2 linked regions of the Pelodiscus sinensis genome follow. The protein of the gene in region 1 interacts with the protein of each later gene in a biochemical or structural test. Links are inferred from orthologs where the notes say so. Each region holds a gene or a part of one and is shown on either strand. Other genes may lie near its edges.

Region 1 (10,281 bases):
GTGATCTCCTCCCTGGTTTTCTTGGAATTACTTGGGTGGTGGCAGCAGATTTCCCAAAATCTGGGTATTAGGATTCGGAGGTGGGGGGAGGAGTTTATTGAACTGGAAACTGCAGAAGCAAAAGTTTGGAGTGCTCTTGCAGGCCCCCACTTCTGCATTCGTAGTACCAGAGTGGGGAACAGCCTTGACAGCCTCTAACAGCTGATCTACATAGAAGATGACAATCTATTTCTGCAGGCAGTCACTCAGTTTAGGGGTACTGGCCAATGCTCTGGACCTGAAGGTCAAAAATGGTACGCGCCCGGCAGAATTCAATCCTGAATGAATGACAACAGTTGATTCTATCACAGGGACTGAGACAGGACACACTTTGAAGTGATTCACCAGGTCAGTTGGACTAAACTTCTATAAATGAAGCAAAGTTTGCTCCTGCCTAAAATCTGCTCCTAGACCAACCCAAAAGAATCAACGATCAGGCTCCATGACACTTGCCAGATGTCACTGAGGAGCTAAAGAGGAAGTGCAGTCCCCCAATCCCTCAATTCTACAGAGGTTAAAGCATCAAAGAGCCCAGAGATCAATAAAAGTAAGATACTAAGTCCTAAAAAAATTGTTTGGCAGTACCATCCTCCTAATTCCTAACCATATGGAATAACTGAACACCAATGAATTGGGAAACCAATCTTTGATTCAAGAATACGGCACTGTGAGAACAATAAATACTGTTTTCTTTGACCAAGTAAAATCCTATATATATACACAGGTGTTATCTGGCTGTATCTAAACTACATGCTGGGACCCAAGGAACCTCGGTGTTTGTAATATTCTATTTTTATTAATCAGAAATGGAGACTATACAGAAGTAACTGAATAAAACTCCTACTCATCTCCTTGCAAAAGTCCTTTTTACAGAAATTCTTTGAAAGGGCACAACAGTGCCTTCACTATGTAACGGCAATTTAAAATCTAGTAGTCTCTTAAGTATTTGAAGTTATGTAATACTACAGAGTGAAGTCTAGTATTACTTTGCATTCTCTGCACATAGTTAAGTTGTTGAAACAGTGTATTGTAGATGTTTTGATATGCTAATTTATAATTGGTATCAGTTCATACTATCTGGAAAGAGAAGATTTCCTCTAACTGGCGAAAGAAAAGGAAAGAAAGCCCACTGTTACCGTCTATCAAGCGTTTCTGCCTGTTGTCATTTTTGTTGGTCATTTGTCTTCTGTATACAGATGCTTCAAAACATACATAGAAAAAAAAAAGCATTTTAGAAACAAGCCAGTAAAATAGTGTGCACATATCAATAAAAACAAGTGTCAGGAAATTCATTTGTTATTCAGTTTATAAAAGCACTAGTAAAATCACTCCTACAACCACATGAACGAATTATCAAATATTCAAATGCACAAGCTTTATAATTCAACTGAAGCTTTTTTGTTTAATTTAAAAGTGTAAGGATAGGAGAAGAAATAGATACCAGAAAGGAAGAGGAATGGAAGTAAAAATAAAAGTAGAAGATATACCCCTTCTAAATAGCAATGGTAAGTTCAAGCCAGGTCACCCTAGATTGGTGACCTGGTATTCTGCCTTGGTTGCTGTAATCAGAACTGGGTTTTGCCCATGAAAGCTTATGATACTATCTATCTATATATTTGTGTTAGTCTCTAAGGTGCCACAGGACTATTCGGGGCTTTTTTAAAGTTACAGACTAACAAGGCTACCCCTCTGAGACCTTGTGCGCCAGAAACTAAACTAAACAAACAAAAAAAAACCCTACAAAAAAGTCTCCACCCATTATGGTTGCACAGAGAACACTGAAATTGTGAGCTAGCTGAAAAGAGACCCAATGAAGCTTGGCAAACTCAGCAAAGAGAGTGAAACAACGCTTCAAAGAGGTGTGAAATGCCTCTCTGTCAACGTGAAGAGCTTTGCAGGAGAGCAAGTACAGAGTAGCCCCTTCTCCTGCACCACTCAAGAACTCTGTAGAAGCAGGAAGTTATACAGCACTTCACATTTCTGTGGAAGTAAGGCAGGCCTGCATACCCGTTACCACAGCTATAGAGTAAAGCTAAATGCCATGCTTCCAATTTACTATGAAATACTACTAGAGCAAGATTTGGTCTTTGGTGCATAGTGAATAAAGCAAGAGTGAAATTCAACCGACAGCATACAAGCAACTTCATCTGTGTCATTCCCATTTTTAGGGGATTCATTTTAAAAATACATTAAAGCTGTATAGTAATCCCTCATTTAACACTATAGATGTGTTTCTGAAAATGTTCAGGCTAAGAGAAAACGTGCTATGCGGGGTAAATTTTCCCATTAAAAATAATGTAAAAGGTGGAGGTTGCATTTCAGGCAGTGGTGGCAAAGTCAATTTTTTGTTAGTGCTGGGTCGTCAACATTAGATATCTAGCAACACAAGTCACTGTGGTTTGTTAAAACACAAAGATAGACAGACACATGAGTGAGCAGAGAAGCGCTGTGACCACGTGTATTCATCCGTTCATGCATATTACCAGGGCTCGCCAAGCGGCGGTGAACCCCCCTCACCAGCTGTGCTGAGCGGCGTACTGCGCGGGCTTGTAATCTACTTGCCACAGGCAAGTAGATTACACTAATTGTCGAGCCCTGCGTATTATCACTGTTTTCACCAACTTATACCGCAGCGTGAAGTAGTCTGCCACTTGATTATTATCCTGTTATTTCGAGGACGGTTGTGTTATTTGAAAAACATTCCCTAAAAAAAATCGTGCTATTGCAAAAACGTGTAAAGTGGGCACATGTTAAATGAGTAAGTACTGTATGGAAGCTAATGCGTATCAGCTATTTGATAAATACAATTCACTGGTCTATTTGTAACTGACTTTAGACACAAAATTATGTTGGGGCAAGACAACTAAGACTAGGGGTTCCCAACATTTTGGGGCTGCCGGGCGCCTGGGGGCAGGGCCGCTTACGTGCTGCGCTTACGGGGGCGGGGTTGCTCACAGGCCACGTGCCTGGGGGCGGGGCCAAGCATGCGCCGCACGCTCCAGGCCGGCACCAGCATGTGCCGTGACCCCGGGCAGGGGCTGCCCAGGTGCTGTGTGCCTGGGGCCAGTACTGGCATGTGCTGCGACCCCGGGCAGGGGTCACCCATGCGCCCGGGGCTGACACCTGCCGCACGCCCAGGGCGGGGCCAGCCCAGATTGCTCCGCAAGTGCACATAAATGGCCCGGCGGGCGCCATGGCGCCCACGGGCTCCGCGTTGGGGCCCACTGAAGACGAACGTGGCACAATGCACAACTTAACCGGCTCCATGTAGATTCCTTAACGATTTTTATAGACAATCGAGTGGGAAAATGCTCAGCACGACGCCCGGGCTGACTGAGCTCGGGCCACATCTCTTCCCTGCCTGCTCAACAGTAACACGTGGAATAGCAACCCGGGCTGCGCCCACGAACGCTCGCGACCCCTCCCCACGCTCGGGGAGTCTGCACAGAGCTGCCGGAGCCCGGGGGGCTGTTTCCAGTTGAGGTGAACAGGCGCCACCCGCTGCCCGCGCGGACGCAGCAGGGAGCGGAAGGGAACGAAGCGGGGCGCAAAACAAAGCCGCTGTCAGGCCGCTTTCCAGAGCCGCCCGGCCCCGGCCCCTCAGAGGCTAATTTGCCTAAACCCGAGGTGCCTGCTGGTCAGATGGGCCGGTCACATGGTAGAGCCCGGGCGCCCCCTCGGCCCCCCCGCCCGCCTCAGCTGGCAACGGTCTCAAGGGAACCGTTTAACGGCCAGGAGAAGCCGGGCGCGGGGCAAGGAAACCCCCCCGGCGATGGCCCCGCCCCGCAGCGGGGGGCAGAGCGCGGCAGCTCCCCCAAGGGGGGCTCGGCCACCCCTCGTCGGGGTCCCCCCTCCCCTGCGCCCTCAAGCAGAGGGCGCGTCGCGGGATCAGCAACGGCTCCTCAGTCACTCACGTTCCGAGGCCTCGGCGCCCCGCCGCCTGGGCTCCGGCTCCTTGGCCCCGGCCGCGGCTCTTCGTCGCGTCTGCATCTCGGCGGTGGCTGCCCGGAGCTCAGGCGCGAGACGGCTCTCGGCGCGTTCTCCCGCCGCGCGGAACGCCTCCCCCGCCGGCCGCGTTTCCGTCCGGACACGCCCTTGCTCTTCCGGGGCGGAAGCCGCTGCCGTCGCAACTAGGTGATTGGCTTCGCTTTCCTGAAAGCCTCACTTCCTGTCGGCCATGTTGAAGGGCGGAAGTCTGCGGGGAGGGCCGCTTCTCTTGCAGGGCTTTTCCCGCGAGCCCTCCCCGCTGGACTGGAAGTCACGTGATACAGCACCGTGTCACAGCTGCGCTCGCTCTTTGCTTAGCTCTCAGCCCCTGTTCTGCCCCGCAGCTGTCAACAGCTGGGGCTGGTCCCCGCCCCCTATCGCCCCCTCTACCCCCTCCCCGCTATCCTCCCTTCCCGGCCGATTTCTGTCCCCGCCCCCCCATTCCCCTTTTCCCCCCTCTCCCTTCCCCTTTCTGTCCCTGCCCCCCATCCGCCCTTTTCCCCCTCTCTCTCCCCCTTTCTGTCCCTGCTCCCTCTATCCCCACTTTTCCCCTCCCCCGCTTTGTCCCCACCCCCTTTATCCCCTCTCCCTCCCCCCTTTCTGTCCCCGCCCCCTCTCCCTCCCCCCTTTCTGGCCCCCGCCCCCTCTATCCCCCCTTTCTCCCCTCTCCCTCCCTCGCTTTCTGTCCCCTTCTCCCACAGAGCAGGGGCTGGCACTGTCCCCTTTCCCGTGGACTTGCCTTAGCCCCATTCTCCAGGCGGCAGGGGCAAAGCGAGGGGCGAGGAGTTTGCGCAGTGGGGTAGGGGGCTGAGAGCTAGTGAAGCAAAGTGTAAACCCTGGATGGGATGAAAACCACTTCAGGCCCTGGGAGGTGCACCAACGCCCTTAGTTCCAGCACCAATTGAAAAGGGACACTGGGAGCTGCTGCCCCAGTGATTTCTGGGGAGGTGGAAGCAGGATAGCTCCTTGCCCTAAGAGTTTGCAGCACTCTAGCCTCTGAAATAGGTTTTAAAACGGGCTCCTCCAGTCCCAGCAGTGCTGCTGGAGGCTCTTGGCCAACAGGGCCCCCCACATGTAGCTTTGGAAAGTCTAGCACTTATGATAGTTGGGGGCAGGGAGATGGTTCTGGGAAGCTTCTCAGTTGGTCCCCATAGTTTGTTTTAAACAAGCTTGGGAGGAATGGGCTATGAAAGTGACTAGCAACAAAAGTGAAATTGACCTGTCTCCACATGGCCCTTTGAGAGAAATGGAAAAGCTACAGCCACAAGCAGGGAGAAGGCAATGAGACAGGCAAAGGACTGGGAGTCCAGAGTGCTTTTGTCATAGCTTTTCTGCCTGTACTTGAACAAGCGGTTTCACACACACTAAACCCAACTCACATGAGAAGCCCCATTAAAGTCAATGGAGCTACTCACATATATGTAGCAACTTCTACATATAAGCATTTTTTGGGTTGGTGCCTAGGAGTACTTCAATTTTGCCATAAAATGGGATTAACGAAATATCTACCTGTGGGGGTTGATGCGATTGCAAATCACTAATATGTTGTGCAAAAGAGTTATGAGATTAAAAACAATGAAATTAACATAAATGTATATATTGTTTTTCCTAAGATTGTCAATTGGTTAAAAATGTAATTGTGATTAATTATGTTGTTAATAATAGAAAACCATTTATTTAGCTTCAGAGGGGTAGCTGAGTTAGTCTGTAACTGGAAAAACTTTAAAAAAACCAATCAGCCTACCAGCACCTTAAAGACTAACAAAACATGTAGATGGTATGAGCTTTTGTGGGTACAACAGCAGAAGTGGGTTGTACCAACGAAAACTCATGATATCATCTACATGTTTTGTTAGTCTTTAAGGTGCTGCTAAACTATTGGTTGTTTTTTAAGTTTACCATTTATTTAAATACTTGTGGATGTTATCTTCATTTGCAAATATACTGCTCTCAATTACAACATAGAATACAAAGTGAATACAAAGTGTTCACTTTATTAAAATATTTGCACTGTAAAAAAACAAAATAAATAGTATTTTTCATTCAACTGATACAAGTACCGTAGTGCAATCTCTTTATCGTGGGGGTTTAACTTACCAAGATAGAATTATGTACAAAAAGTAACAGCATTCAAAAATAAAATAATATGAAACCTTGTTATCAAGCAGAATCCATCATAAGCATGGAAGGAGGTCCTCTGAAATAAGAAGCTGGTAGCAGTATCTCCCATAGATGTAAAAAAACTTGCTTTTCTTTGCGTTAGTTCTACCTCTTGTTCAACCTAAATGAATCTGTAGGCTCTAAAGTTTTACATTGTTTTGTTTTTGAGTGCAGTTATGCAACAAAACAATCTACATTTTTAAATTACACTTTCATGATAAAGAGATTGCACTACAGTGCTTGTATGAGGTGAATTGAAAAATACTATTATCATTTTTAGAGTGCCAATGATAGTAATCAAATGTAACCATATAAAGTGAGCACTGCACGCTTTGTATTCTGTGTCATAATACAAATCAATATATCTGAAAATTTAAAAAAGCATCCAAAATATTTAATACATTTCATGTGGTAGTCTGTTGTTTAACAGTGTGATTAAGCACAATTAATTTTTAATTGTGATTAATTTTGAGTTAATTGTGTGAGTTATCTATGATTAATCAACAGTTCTAATTATTCCTTTCCTGTAACAAATAGTATGGAAGTTTGATTTTTATAAATACAATTTTTAATGACACACAGCACCCAGGGTGGTTTACAAGTACAGCATATAATGTTATCTGGGATCAATCTGGATACAAGATATGATGTAAATTCAAGATCATCAGAGCTATCTCATCCATAGAATGGTTGGGGTGGCCCCGAGCCCTGCATTTTGGGGAACCCTATGATGTCAGGGCAGCCTCGGTGATTACCCAGGGGTTCTGGGACAGTAGCAGGGTCGGGCCCAGCCCCGTACTCACCAGGGAGCGTGGGAGCCACAGGAAGCGAAGCAGTCCAGCCTCAGCACGCTCTGCTTCGCCATCTCCTAGGCGGAAGTAGGTGCCAGAGTCCTAACCTCCTCCAGTCTCCTGAGCAACAGGGCTTGAAGCTGGGCTCGGGGGCTGTGTCTGCACTGGCCACTTATTCCGGAAAATCAGTCGCTTTTCCGGAATAACTTGCCAGCTGTCTACACTGGCCCCTTGAATTTCCAGAAAAGCACTGACGATCTACTGTAAAATCATCAGTGCTTTTCTGGAAAAACTATGCTGCTCCTGTTCGGGCAAAAGTCCTTTTCCGGAAAACTGTTCCAGAAAAGGGCCAGTCTAGACAGCACAGTAGTGTTTTCCGCAAAAAAGCCTCGATCGCAAAAATGACGATCGGGGCTTTTTTGTGGAAAAGCGCGTCTAGATTGGCCACGGACGCTTTTCCGGAAAAAGTGCTTTTCCAGAAAAGCATCCTGCCAATGTAGACACGCTTTTTCCGGAAATACTTAAAACGGAAAACTGTTCCGTTTTAAGCATTTCCGGAAAAGGGTGCTAGTGAAGACGTAGCCAGGGAGTAGAGCAGGCTAGGGCCAGGTTATTCTGCTTCCCACCACCACAGGAGTACAAGGGGGGTAATGGCCCCCCAGTAATTCCCCAGGCCATGTTGCTTGGGAGGAGGCAGTGTTGGTTCAGGCAGAGGTGGGGGAGGAGTGGAGCAGGGACGAGGGTTGGAGTGGGGACGGAGGCAGGGGCAGAGGCAGGGCTGGCCTTACTATGAGGCGAACTGAGGCGGCTGCCTCAGGTGCCAGACTGGGGGGGGGGGGGGGGGGCGCCACTAGAACCCAAAGTGTAGAAAATTGTGTCTGCTGCTGGTGCAGATGTATTCTCTCTACTCTAGATGCACAGAGATGGTGAAGTGATGTGCTGGAGGAAGGAGGGCACAAGAGACAACAGGCAGGCAGGAGAAAAGGGGGCATCATTTGAACTCCCCGCCGCAGTTGCCAAAATGTAGTGGGCTGGCCCTGTGGGGGGAGGAGAGGGTGTTGTTCCAGGCTCCACAACCACCTAAGGAGGGTGCTGACGATCATTATTAGATTTATTTTTCTCATATAGATTTGAGCAAATACAGCACACAACGTATATACAAATGATTTAGGCAAGGCTGATTTAACTATAAAATGAAGAGGTCCTAAAGGGTTTTTATTTTACTAAACCTGGGAGGGACTGGGGGAAGGGAGGAAGACAGCACCTCATTCCTACAGCAAAGTCCATCTTATTTAGGCTGATGCCTTTTTTTTCATCCTGGAACATTGTAAATTATTTAAGGAGACACGGACATGCTCTGAGCACTTCGTAAGAATGTGGGACAACAACTTTTCTCACTTCCTAGCCTCTCTACCTCTCAAGTCTGATGTTTATTAAAGAAGAAAAAAATGTTTAATAGTGTTGTACAAGTGTTCTCTTGAAGTTCAAATTTTGTTTAGAAGCAAGGGAAAATGTGTTACGTAAATTATGCATGCCTTCTGTGCCAGGCCCAAATGTATGAACTGTCATTCTTTTAAGATGGAATAGGAGAGCAAATAAGATGAGCTTTATGTTTCATTAAGCAGCACAACAGAGTGTTACAGAGATAATCACCTAATCGAGATGTTTTAAAGTCCACAGAGCTATTTATTCTGATTTAAGTCAGATAGAAAGAGCTAGTAAATGACTGATTCGTAATCTTTCAGTCATCCGGTAAATGTGCAGGTAAAATCTTTCCATTTTACCTTCATCCAAAAGTCTCCAAGGGCTTTACAAGAATTAAATTATGTGGTTACTGACTGTAAATGAAAAGCAGCATTTCAAGATACGCTCTGTGTAATCAAGCAGACTTCTGTGATACAAAGTGATCTATTGATCCTTTTCTAGCTTGTTATATTTCTAAAATAAAATCCAAAAACCTTTGCTTTAAAAAAGTTAACATTGCTAAGCGACAATATATACACCTAGCAACCCCCCCCCCCCCCCCCACCCCCAACGGATTGTGAAAAATTGTAATTTTGCTAGAGGGAGACAAAATTAGACAAGCCAACATTTCCAATTAGAATAGTTATAATTGCCAGTAATTCAAAAACTGTTTAGCTTTATATTTTCAAGTATGTGTGATCAAATGTACTCCTGTATTCTCTCCCTAAACGCTACTGTAATAATCTTTGCACAAAATATGCCCTGTGAGATATAATTTAAAAATTAAGACCTCTCATCATGGGAAAATGCATGTAGCAATATTATATCCCAAGTTATAACATTTGAAAAATTCCACCTTTTACACTGAAGCTGCTCGACCCTGGAGCCTAGTTTGTACAAGGCTAGCTTAATAATGTGGCCATATGTCAGGAAGGCCAACGGGACAATTTATTTTCTAAATGGGGCTGGTTTGGGTTCCAGAAAAAAAAACCTAATAAATCTTGGCTTCTCTGATTTGTCTTTCCTACTTGCTGTTTTACACTGGCCTGTGTAATTGAAAAAAAAAAAAAAAAAAAAAGCAACCACAGATTACTTGTCATTTGTACTATGTAGTACTATTGGTCCAGACCAAATCAGGCTCCCATTGTGCCAGTGCTGTACATAAATCTTTGCTTTTACATAAATCACCTCTTTTTCCCTTGTCTTATGCCTCTTAATACTTTCTCCCTCTGCTGTAATTCTGTTAATTGGCCTTCCATCCTAAGAATAGGTCGGCACCCAGGAAGCCACCTAGGCTGAAAGATACAGTTGCTGGGTTTAATTCTGAGTATCCTCATTGTTGATCTTGGTTTGCCACTTACTATGGAGCAGCTGATGACGAATCAAAACAATCAATCCACTCTCTTCAGTCTTCCATAGTGCCCTGCTTCTCTGCTGTACAATAAAGTTGGTGTAACTCTAGTTCTATTAAGTCTGCAACTTCGTAGCAAGCTTGATGTCATGGCGTCTCCACAAAGACCACTGAAGGGCACATTTGGCAGCAGGTGCTGCTATACAAGCATCCACATCTTTCGAGCATCCTCCAGCACAGTCTATGATGCCTCTTAAGTGTCCCATCCAGATAGAGTAATCTTGAGCTGGCGGTAATCTACAATTGGGAATTTGGTTATGTGGTGAGGTCACGAGTGACGGAGACAGACTGAACATCCAGCCAGACCCACCTAGGGTCCTAGCTAGAGACTGAGCTGAGTAGTGCTTGAGCTGCAAGGAGGCTACGTTTCTTTGGAATTTGCCCGAAAATGATTATATGAATGTAATTCTACCATTTCACTGGTTCCAA
Region 2 (10,639 bases), on another chromosome or scaffold:
GAGAAGGACTTTTAGCCATGGGAACAATCAAAATTACTCACTATTCTTATTGTTGAAGACAGACACAGACAATGAAGCTTCCAAGTCTCTGAGTTCCATGTTTTCCCTTTTTCTTCCCCTTCTCCAGAAATCTAATGCCACATCTGTTATCTTTTCGGCCCCTGCATTGCTGTGTGATGGAGGGAAAGGATTTCAGCTGGATGGGTTTCACAGAGCATTCAGTTTACAGCATTGCAAGGATTTCACCGATGCTCCTCACCTGAGAAAGATGAAGATGGCTCTCCGATAGGACACCCCATCAAGCTGCTCATAATAGTCCAAGAACGGTTTGATGGAATCAATGAGCCCTGCGTGCATTTTATCCATTTCATCAAATATAAAGATTGACCTGGCACAGGCACTCACGTTTCCTCGAATCCAGGACTGCAACTGGTCCTATGTTATACAAAAATAAAGGAGATTGCATATTCCAACTGCATCTGTGTCACCTTGAAGACACGGGAAATGTATAGATCGCTGCTTTTCATTCAAAAGCTGTAACTTCAATTGTGCACCTAAAATTGTGTGAATTTCTTGATTGAAATCTGGTTAAAAGGTCAGCTGTAAAGAATGATAAAAGGAACATAGTAACAGAAATGCATTCTGGTTGTTAAAATAACCTTAACAACCGGAATCTCTCTGCAGGTATCCATGAAAAAGACTATATTTCAAGCCAGTGAATAAATATGGATATGAAGCAACAACCTACCTCGCAAGATAAAGTGAATGCCAGTGGGGAAAATTATTTTCTTTGGTGCTAATAATCTGCAGTCAAGTAGCATATTCCATCCTTAGAACTCAAAACATTTTCCAACATTCATTAGTTGAGTCAGTGAGTGATTACGTGACTTAGCCAAAATAACATAAAAATTACTGGAACAGCTAGGTATAGAACACAGAATCATAACTCCTATTCCTATGCTTTAACCACTGGTAAGTAATCTAACTGCAGGTGATTTTAAATGTTTAAAAAGTGTAGTCTTGTTCAGGAAGGGGGTAATCTTATTTAAATATTTCATTATACAGGCAGTCCTCAGATTTATGACACAGACAATTCCTGAAAATTGTGTCATAAGTCTAAACATCATAACTCAGAACTACAATCCACTCCCTTGCAGGACCAAGCATTATAAAATTGAATTGTGGTGTCAATTCAGAAACATAGGTGCCATTTGTTGTAAGTCAAACATTGTAAAGTTGAGGTATGCCTGTATGGCTCAGGTATTTACCCACTACAGTATTAAAAGTTATGTTTAAGATTAGTAATGAGAAAGGAAAGGAACAGGACAGTTGATATAAAACAAAACAGTGACTCAGCTCATTTTACCAATCTCACAATTATTTGGTCCCTGTACATGGAAAAGGCAGTGTAGGGAAGACTGCGCACTGTCCATTAAGTGAATTTCACATGCTGTTTTTCTTTTTACATGACCAAAGAACATAAAGATCCATTTTCACCACTGCTTTCAGGACTCATTTGGGGCAGGATAATAGAAACCTTTACAAGGGGAAATACATAAACTAGAGAAAAAGTAGAATTCTCCATTTTAAAAGCTAAAACGTTCCATTCTTTTAAGTTTTCAATATGCATACATTTTGTGTTTAAGTTCAAAACACAGTACAAAGTTCACTAATCTGCATACTACTCATTATGTAGAAAAGTTTCATCCTCATTTTGCAGACTGCAGAATAGACTCTTTCACACAACCTAGTGGCAGAATCAGGATTCAAATTCAGGAACACAAGCAGTGGGATTTCCCTAAACTGTGCTGACTCACATATGTACCTGATTAATGTAGCCACGGGTATGTCTTGGCATTTCACTCTTTAATGTATTCATGCTCACAAAAACCCCTGAGAGGGACAAAGTACACCTAGCCCCATTTTTCAGTTGAGAAACTGAGGTAAGGAAAGACTAAATCACATGCCCAAAGATACACAGGAAAACCTGTGGTGGGATATTTGGGGCAGAGAACTGAACCCACGTCCCATGCTGACTTCCTATGTCCTTTCCCTCTGAACAGTAACATGAGAGGCTGCATAAACAATTTTTTAAAAATGTACAGGTAAAATCAGTCCCTAGACATTTGAGCGCAGGTCTCAAACTCCCAACCTGTGAACCATCCCTGGCTGGAACAATTGCGCAATCTGGCCTGAGATTCCTGGCAAGCTGAGGGAGGGGGGCTGTCCGTTACCAGCCCTTAAACCCTACCCTTTCCTGTCATCACCCTGTCATGCTCCTGTCTGCCCCAGGAAATCTGAGGAGACCACTACCACCACACGGCATCAGGTTCCCATAGTGATCCCCAAGCCGTACCCTCAGGGGACAGGGTGCCATCGGAGGGAACATGGCTATTTGGGGGCCTGTAATACACAGACCTCACCACCACCCGGCCCATTGGGAATCTTGTGCCACATTGCACAATTGCTCCTGCTGGGGCTAGCCTGTGGGTTGGGAGATTGAGACCCCTGCATTAGGGTTTCCACATTTGCACTTCAGACTCAGCACACATTGTGTTTTACTGTTTCAGATAAAAAGCCTTCACTCGTTAGTACTACTGATCCCATAATCTTGATAATCTAACAAAAGAGATAACCCACACAATCACACTTAAAATACATCGAGCTCCAAATGCACTCTTACCTTGTACTGGCTAATGCTATGTGCATGGGGAAAATGCAAAGTGGACACAAACTGATGGACATAGTTGCTGTTCAGGCCTCCTTCGTAGATACTCTCTGCTATTATTTTACTGACAAAGTTTTTGCCAGTACCAGTCCATCCATGTAAGGAGAGAGTGAGAGGTTTTTTGGGGTTTGTGTTGTTCAAGAAGCCAATCACAGCTTTCACAATCACCTTCTTCACAAGGTGCTGACCAAATAGTTTCTTATCCAAATCCTCCTGAAGTGCTGAATGAAGGAGACACCAACCAGAGAAGAAGAAAAAAAGGTGATAGGTTTTAATGTTTCTAGGCTGCTTTGGAATGGTGGCCTCTCTGATATCCCAAGGTGCCTAAACTTTGCTCATCCCAGGGCAGCTGCCAGGGGATCAAAGAGCTATCCTGATTAGAATGGAACCAGCACGTTTTTCTTGAATAGTGGAGACTGCAGACCCTGGAATGGGATGCTCTGGATCCAGCTGCCAATCACCATCCCTCTTCCTGTGGAGGGACTCATACCACCAGGTTCCCCTTTTACTCCCGCTCCTTCTGTCTGGAAGCAGCCACACGTTCTTTCATCTCCCCAGCGTCCCCTCCCCCCAAAACTATCAGCCCTCTCCTCTAGTTGTAGCCTCCTACACCCCCTCGGCATGCGCCCTCTAATCTTGCCCTCCCCGCCTTCCTGTCTGCTGCACGAGAGCCAACGACCCAGCTCCGACTCCCTCTCTCAGCGGGCATCTTCCGAGAGGCCGGACCCTTCCCCAGCCTAAGCAGCCCCCAAGCTGAACCCCACCAACAGGGACAGCCCCCAAGCGCCCCCAACACGTACTGACCCCATAACCGCCAGCCCCGCCCCAGCCCACCTACCTGCTCCCGCCCGGGTCCCCTCCCGCTGGAGGCAGCACTCCCTGAAGTAGCAGTAGAGGCGCGGGTAGGAGATGAAGCCGGTGAGCGCTGAGGCGGCAGCCCCGCACAGCGCCAGTCCCAGGCTGATGGGCTCCACCGTCTGCACCGGGCTCAGCAGCAGCGCAAGGCCCAGAACAGCCCCCAGCGGCCCCCGCAGCAGCTTCATGCCCCCTCCGCCAGGCCCCAGCCCGGCCTGTCAGGCGCCACCCTCACCCCGCACAGCCACTTCCGCTTCCGGACTAGTCGCTTCCGGCACCACCATCTTGGTTGAGGGCAGAGGCGTTGGCCAGGGTTGAGGTTGGCGGCGGCCATGTTGGAAACAGGCCGTCACTGTCACGTGACCGAAAGGGCCCGCCCTCTCCCGCGAGATCGCTACTCAGTAGGTGACAGGTTAGCTAGGCAATGACTCAGTATCGCCGTCATGACGTAGCATCCTGCTCCACGTGCCGTAAGACCGTCGGCGGAGCAGGTCGTGACGTAGCTTCCGCGTGCGTGTCCCGACGTGTCCTCGGTGCCCACCCTGCGGCCCTGCAAGCAACCTCCGTCTCCCTGTTCAGCTTGTGGCCGGGTTAGATCACACACCCCAGCTCCCTCTACTCGTTTCCAGACGGGTGCAGATTTCTTCCATCTATGTGCAGGACAAAATATTGTAGGTGCAGGGGTGCATGTGCAAAAGAGCACCGCTACTAGCAACACACAACCCATGTGCACTCTGCTAACCCCCAGCAGCCAGTTTACAAGGAACACTGTTGGAAGGAAGCCTTCTAACACCTATTGGAAACTGCAATTAATAAATAACGGTTTTGTTCTGACTCCTTTGAGTCGCTAGTGCCTGCTGAAAGCTCTTTTAAATCTTCCCTTGCTAAAAAAAAAAAAAAAAAACAATACTGGCACAGTGGTTAGGGGCCACTGTCTCACAAAAAAACAAACACCTCACTGAAGTGGCCCCTCTCTAAGAAGGAGACACTCCCCACATTTCCCTTTCACACCAGGGCTGGGGGGTTGGGAGGGGAAGGAGTCCTGGCTAGTAGATTGTGCACTCCAGCTCCATGGAGTGTCAGCACTGCTAAAGGTGGGAGGGGGCAAAGAGTCCCAAACCCTGGGGGCTGGATTCAGGCAAGCCAGGGGCTGGATTCAGCCCCTGGGCCTTAGGTTTCCCAGCCCTGTTCAAAATACTAGCTAGATGATGTAGCATTGTCATCTCCATTTACTATCTGCATTTATTTATTTTTTTTTATATATAAACACAGCACTTAAGATACTGTTTAGTATTTATGGCTAGTCATTTTTTTTTAAATGGTGCAGGAACTTGCCGTCGCTTTTGCTTAGCCATAATATTTCACTGTTCTAACAAAACTATTAGATGAAAGGTCACATGGTCACAAAACTTTCAAGCCCAGGGACCGAAACTCAATCATTTCCCCCATTTTACAGATGACATTAAGCAGAGATGCACAGAGGCATTAAACAACATGTTCCAGATCACAGTCTGTCAGTGACTGAATCATGAAACTGCACAGTGAGGCTACATCTACACTGTAATGCTATTTCAGGATAGCAGAGTATCCCGAAATAGCTATCCTGCATCTTAAGAGGCTTGCTCTGCTGATGTCCCAGTAAACTTCATTCCACAAGGATGTTTCAAAATAGCAGTTTATTTTGAAATTTGGTGAGGTGTAGACGTAGCCTGAGTAGCAGCCCTCAGCAGTGAATCTCAGTCTGCCAACCAAAACTCTTGTTTGTGGGCTTGTGCTATAGTGCTAAAAATAGTACAGATGTTATAGCCCAAGCTCCACCCTCAGCCAAGATCCAGCCTGAGCAAGCATCTACACAGCTATTTTTAGTGCAATAGCAGAAGCCCAAGTCATCCAGGATCTAAGACTCCCTCATATGAGCTATGTAAACGTACCCTTAGTCAGATGTTTGAAGTGCCAGACAATATTACCTCAACTATTTTCATAAGCTAGCCTTTTTGATTTGTAGCATAGATTTTACATTTTTGTTTCATGTTAATTTTATTTGAAAGGTGTCAGTCCAACAGTACTAAGGACAGAAATTCTTAAAACAGACGGCACTCCACTCTCAATGCCTTGTTCACACATTGCCTTTTTACACTGATATTGTCAATAATCATGCTAGCTGTGGGTGAGGGTATTTTCCGTGATATGAGCACTCCTTACTAACAACTGGACCAAGAAAAAAAAACTTAGCTGTTGACTTGGTTCAAATATCAGCTAGGAACAATGCTCAGAAAATACTTTGGTTGACACCTCCATGAAGATTGAGCAGATAAATGTCTATATGCTAGTATCAAACTCCTGACCCTACCACTACCTTTAATATTGTAGACAAGCATACAAACCAGCATTTTAATTTTCATTGTTGTACATTTCACTCAGATTGATTGACATGATACGGAAGATTTATGAAAGCATTCAACAATGTTGGTTACTAAAGCACTGGATGTGAGCTGACTCATGTTCCCAAGTCTCACGACAACAGCTGCTGATCCTTGTTTTAATTCAATAATTTAATCAATTTCATACAAACTTAGACTTGTTTAGGCTAATATTTAAGTACATACAAGCAGCACAGGATGAATCTAGTGTGCCCATTACTGAAATAACAGAATTGCAAGAATGACAGGTTAAAAATGTTATTTATTTTTTGAAAGTTCAAACTCCATTTCTCAACTTAATTTATATTAATTTCTGGAAATATGGTGTTTTAACATCTGAGGGTTTTTTGGTTTTTTTTGATAGGGATAATGTAGGATTTCATATCAGAAAGCCAAACAAAAATTGAAAACAATCTACTGATTTCTCTCCTCCTTGGCAACTGAAATAAAACACTCATTGCTATGGAAACACAAACACACACAGGGGACAATTTAAAAATCTCAAAAACATTCACAATTCAGGCACCTACAGCAACTGCTGTATTTCCTTATACTGAAGATAAGAAATCCTGCCAAATTGCAATCCCTGCAGAGTAGCATGTGTTCAAGATCTTACATGGTACCCACTCTAACAGGAAAAGAAGCTGACTCCTGCTGTGTGCTTAACAAATTCCTGCAGTATCTTAGACCCACACACTGCATACAATTTAAGCCCTTTGGAACTATCAAGAAGAACCTTCTTATGAAATTGCTTTGGAAGTTTGACCTGGAAAACCAGCTTTAAACCTGTACTCCTTGTTTACGGGCTAAAAACATTTCAGTCTTTAAAAGATCTTTTTCAAAGTGGAAAAAAAAAAATCTATGAACAAGGTTGACATTATGCTAAAATAAATGTCAAGCAGGAAGCCAACATATTTACAAAGGAAAGTTTATAACAAAATAAGTTATACACAAGTCACCACAGAGAAGGATGATTTCACAATCACCATGCAACTAATTCACTACAAGTTTACTGTGAGAAAAATCTTATGGGTAACATTAAAAAAATGGATACGAAGCCATCCCACAGAGTTATTTACACAACACCTTTCACTTAAAAGCTCCAGCAAAATGTTCAGCCCATACTGAAGAGATTTCAATAGCGTCTGTTCATCTTCTTGAATTTCTCATAGTGGTAATCATCTGTTGCTTTCTCATTGGGTGGACGCTTGCGATTTGGAGGAGACCCTTCAAAGGAGAGAGAGAGGGAGAGAGAGAGAGAGAGACACATACACACACTTTATTTCCTATTCTTTAATAAATAGGATAGCGCAGGAAAAATTATCCTCATTCACTTCCCAAAGATTTAGTCTAATGCCCTTTAAACCAGCTGGCCTGCAAGCACTCTTACTATTTTACACTCTTGCCTTCAACAATGCCAAAATTCTTCAGACTTCATTCTTCCAAATCCTACTCACTCTCCCCCAATCCATTCCAAAACAGTTTTGCCCAAAACACTTAAAAACCGTACCATTTACATTCCCCCATTACTCCAGCCTTTGTGGAGCAGAGACTGTTAGCTCTCCATACCACGGCTGACTACACACCATTACTAAGGAGTCAATGGGTTATTTTCAACATCCTGACCCTTCACCTATAACAGGAGATAAGTCATAAAGCAACATGGATGGAAGTTGTATCTATTAGGGAGCACATCAAGAATTGCATTTCATCACTTTTCCTTTGAAAATCAAAGGCAAATCACTCTACAAGTCTTTCCCACCAGCTCAGGACACCATGCCTTATAGCAGGGGTGGGCAATCATATTTGATGGGAAGGGGTACTCCAAGGCTGTGTCTAAACTACATCCCTTTTTTGATAAGGGGATGCAGATTAGGCACATCGATATTGCAAATGAAGCCGGGATTTAAATATCCCGCGCGTCATTTGCATAATGGCAGCTGCCGCTTTTTTCCAAAACAGGGCTTTTTCAAAAGAAAAAAAAAACAAAAAACGGACAGTTTCATTTCGAAAGATCCTGTACTCCTCAAAAAATGAGGAGTACAGCATCTTTCAAAATGGGGCATTTCTGTTGAAAATGCCCCATCTAAACTGCTGTGGTTTCTTCCCCCTGTCCCTCCTGAAAGAGCCCCATTTCAGAAAAAAGCAGCAGTCGCCATTATGCAAATGAAACACGGGATATTTACATCCTGCACTTCATTTGCAATATCGACGTGCCTAATCTACATCCATTTATCGAAAAAGGGATGCAGTTTAGACACTGCCCAAGAGTTTGGAAAGTGGTCAAGGGCAGTACTTTTCTATGATATTAATGGAGGTGGTGTGGGCTCTGGGACCGAAGCTGGGTACAGGAGGGAGCTCTGGTTGAGGACTGAAGTGCAAGAGGGATGAGAATGGAGTCTGGGAGGGAGTTTGGGTGCAGGAGAGGATTCTGACATGGAGGAGGGATGTAGGAAGGGGGTGCAGGGTCTGGGAGGGTGTTGTGACCAGGGGAGGGGGACAGAGGGTTTGGGTTATGACCTGGGGCAAGGGTGCAGGACAGGGTGCAGAGGGTTTGAGTTGTGACCTGGGGCAGAAAGCAGGGGTGCAGGCTCTGGCTAGGAGGTGCTTACGTTAGTGGCACCTGTCCAGCAGCCCAATGGGACCCTTAGGAAGGCTCTCTGAGCAGCATGTGGGGGCGTGGTGGACAAAGCGGCTGTCTGCTGGGGCCAGCGTGTGCTCTCTGAGTGGTGCACCCCTTGGGGAAAGGCGAAAGTGGGTCTCTGTGGGCTGTACGTGCCTGCAAGTACAGCCCAGGCAGTTCACATTGGTTGGAAATCACCTGTTGGGAGCTGCAAGGATTGTGCTGGGGGAAGCACACGGAGACCCCTCCCAAGGGGCACGCATTGCACAGATATGTGCACACTGGCCTCAGCAGCCAGCCACTTTGTGTGGCATGTGAGGCTGCAGCAGGCAGGGAGCCTGCCCTAAGGTTCCACTGGGCTGGGAGGATATTGGTGGCGGGCGGGCTGGATCTGAATGTATGATGGGCCAAATCTGGCCCACGGGCTGTATTTTGCTCACCCCTGCCTTAGAGGGCTAGAGGAGAAGATTATATCTGTTCATGGATCTTGGATAAGGAAGAATTGATACCTCCAATAAGCTAGCCATGCTTTGTGTTTAGTACTCACGCTCAGGTTCTGGCTTCTCTGTATCCCCCACTCTCAGTGGTCGGGCTTTTGGTTCTTCTTTATTCCTCCTCACTGGTGCACTCAGTTCCTCATGATAGACTGGAAGGAGACACACCAAAGGGTGAAGTTTAGACAGCAGCATTGCTCAGATGTAGAATCACAGAAATGTACAGCTGGAAGGGAGCTCAAGAGGTCATAAGAACATAAGCTGGCCATAACAGGTCAGACCATTTAAGCCAGTATCATGTTTTCCCAACAGTGGCCATTGCCAGGTGCTGCAGAGGGAATAAACAGAACAGGTAATCAAGTGATCCATCCCTGTCACTAATTCCCATTTTCTGGTAAACAGAGACTAAGGACACCATCCCTCACCATCCACGCTAATTGCCACACATGGACTTATCCTCCATGAAATTATCTAGTTCTTTTTTTAACCCTGTTATAGTTAGGGTTGTCAACATGCATATGTTCCAGAGAGGTAAGCCAAGTTAGTCTGTAACAGGAAAAGCTTAAAAAACAACAAATAGTCTAGTAGCACTTTTAAGACTAACAAAACATGTAGATGGGATCATGAGCTTTCAGATACTTCTTCAGATACACGATTAACCGATAAGCCTGGTCTTATCAGTTAATCCTGTCGATTACGCGCATTTGCTCACTTCCCGCCCCCCAGCTGCTGCCTCTGTTTCCAAGATACTCACATCGGTTGTGCTGGACGTAGTTCACAGCCATGTTTGTGGGAACAAAGGAAGTTTCACTGTCTTTCTTTTTGTTTTGCTGCTCTGCCAGCAGCCTTGCCTTGGCGTCCTCAGTAAAGATTATGTTTTTTATTTTTGCACTGAAAGGGGAATACAGTGAGGAAGAGAATTGTTTATACACTGCAGACAGAAAGAGGCCTGGGGCCCTATATACCAAAATACACAGTAGAGCAATTTTATCTACGAGTGAGTGAACGGACAGTTACATGTGGGGGGGACAGCAATTGCAGTTGTCTTTGATTTGCAAGCTGTTTGTCAGAGAATGGGGCAATGTGATAAAGAGGAGCGCTCTAGTCCCAAGGACGGACAGAAACCACACATCCCTGAAGAGCTCACCCTATGGTAGTGCTTGGTGTGAGCCAAGACTACCAGAAGACCCTGCATCACAGATTTTGAGGTAAAATTCCATTTATTTGGTTAACTGGTTAACCAGATGCCCGGAGCACCTCCTGCCTGTGACACATGGTCCCGCTGCAGACAGGGGCAACTCCAGATGCCCAGAGCTGCTCTAGCCCCCACCAGTTAACCAGAACCAGTAAACCACACCCATTAAGGGTGAGGCTTAGTGGCAGTGTTCCCTGTAAGCTGCGCGCATTTGTGCAGCCGAAAGATTCCAATGCTGCCCAGTTGATTAGAAGAGTTTCCACTGGTAGGCTTTATTTCTACTGGTGGTGCACATTCACACTTGCCTTTGTGCACATAAAAATG

Evidence for each region.
Region 2: the proteins of torsin-1A-interacting protein 1 (region 1) and torsin-1A-like form a complex in vitro, tested with the Homo sapiens proteins (2 studies listed by BioGRID and IntAct). The link is inferred for Pelodiscus sinensis from reciprocal best matches to the Homo sapiens genes TOR1AIP1 and TOR1A.

Annotation. Positions count from the first base shown.
Region 1 is NC_134719.1:59,450,953-59,461,233, forward strand, and holds the start of torsin-1A-interacting protein 1, read right to left. Parts: upstream 4,240-10,281; 5' UTR 4,030-4,239; coding exon 3,954-4,029; intron 1,239-3,953; coding exon 1,176-1,238; intron 1,115-1,175; exon of another isoform or gene 1-1,114. UniProt on the Homo sapiens protein: Required for nuclear membrane integrity. Induces TOR1A and TOR1B ATPase activity and is required for their location on the nuclear membrane. Binds to A- and B-type lamins. Possible role in membrane attachment and assembly of the nuclear lamina.
Region 2 is NC_134732.1:12,898,239-12,908,877, forward strand, and holds the start of torsin-1A-like, read right to left. Parts: upstream 3,836-10,639; 5' UTR 3,772-3,835; coding exon 3,567-3,771; intron 2,950-3,566; coding exon 2,684-2,949; intron 436-2,683; coding exon 260-435; intron 170-259; coding exon 42-169; intron 1-41. Other genes in the region: C22H9orf78 (splicing factor C9orf78 homolog), read right to left, coding at 7,139-7,230, 9,174-9,272, 9,875-10,011. UniProt on the Homo sapiens protein: Protein with chaperone functions important for the control of protein folding, processing, stability and localization as well as for the reduction of misfolded protein aggregates.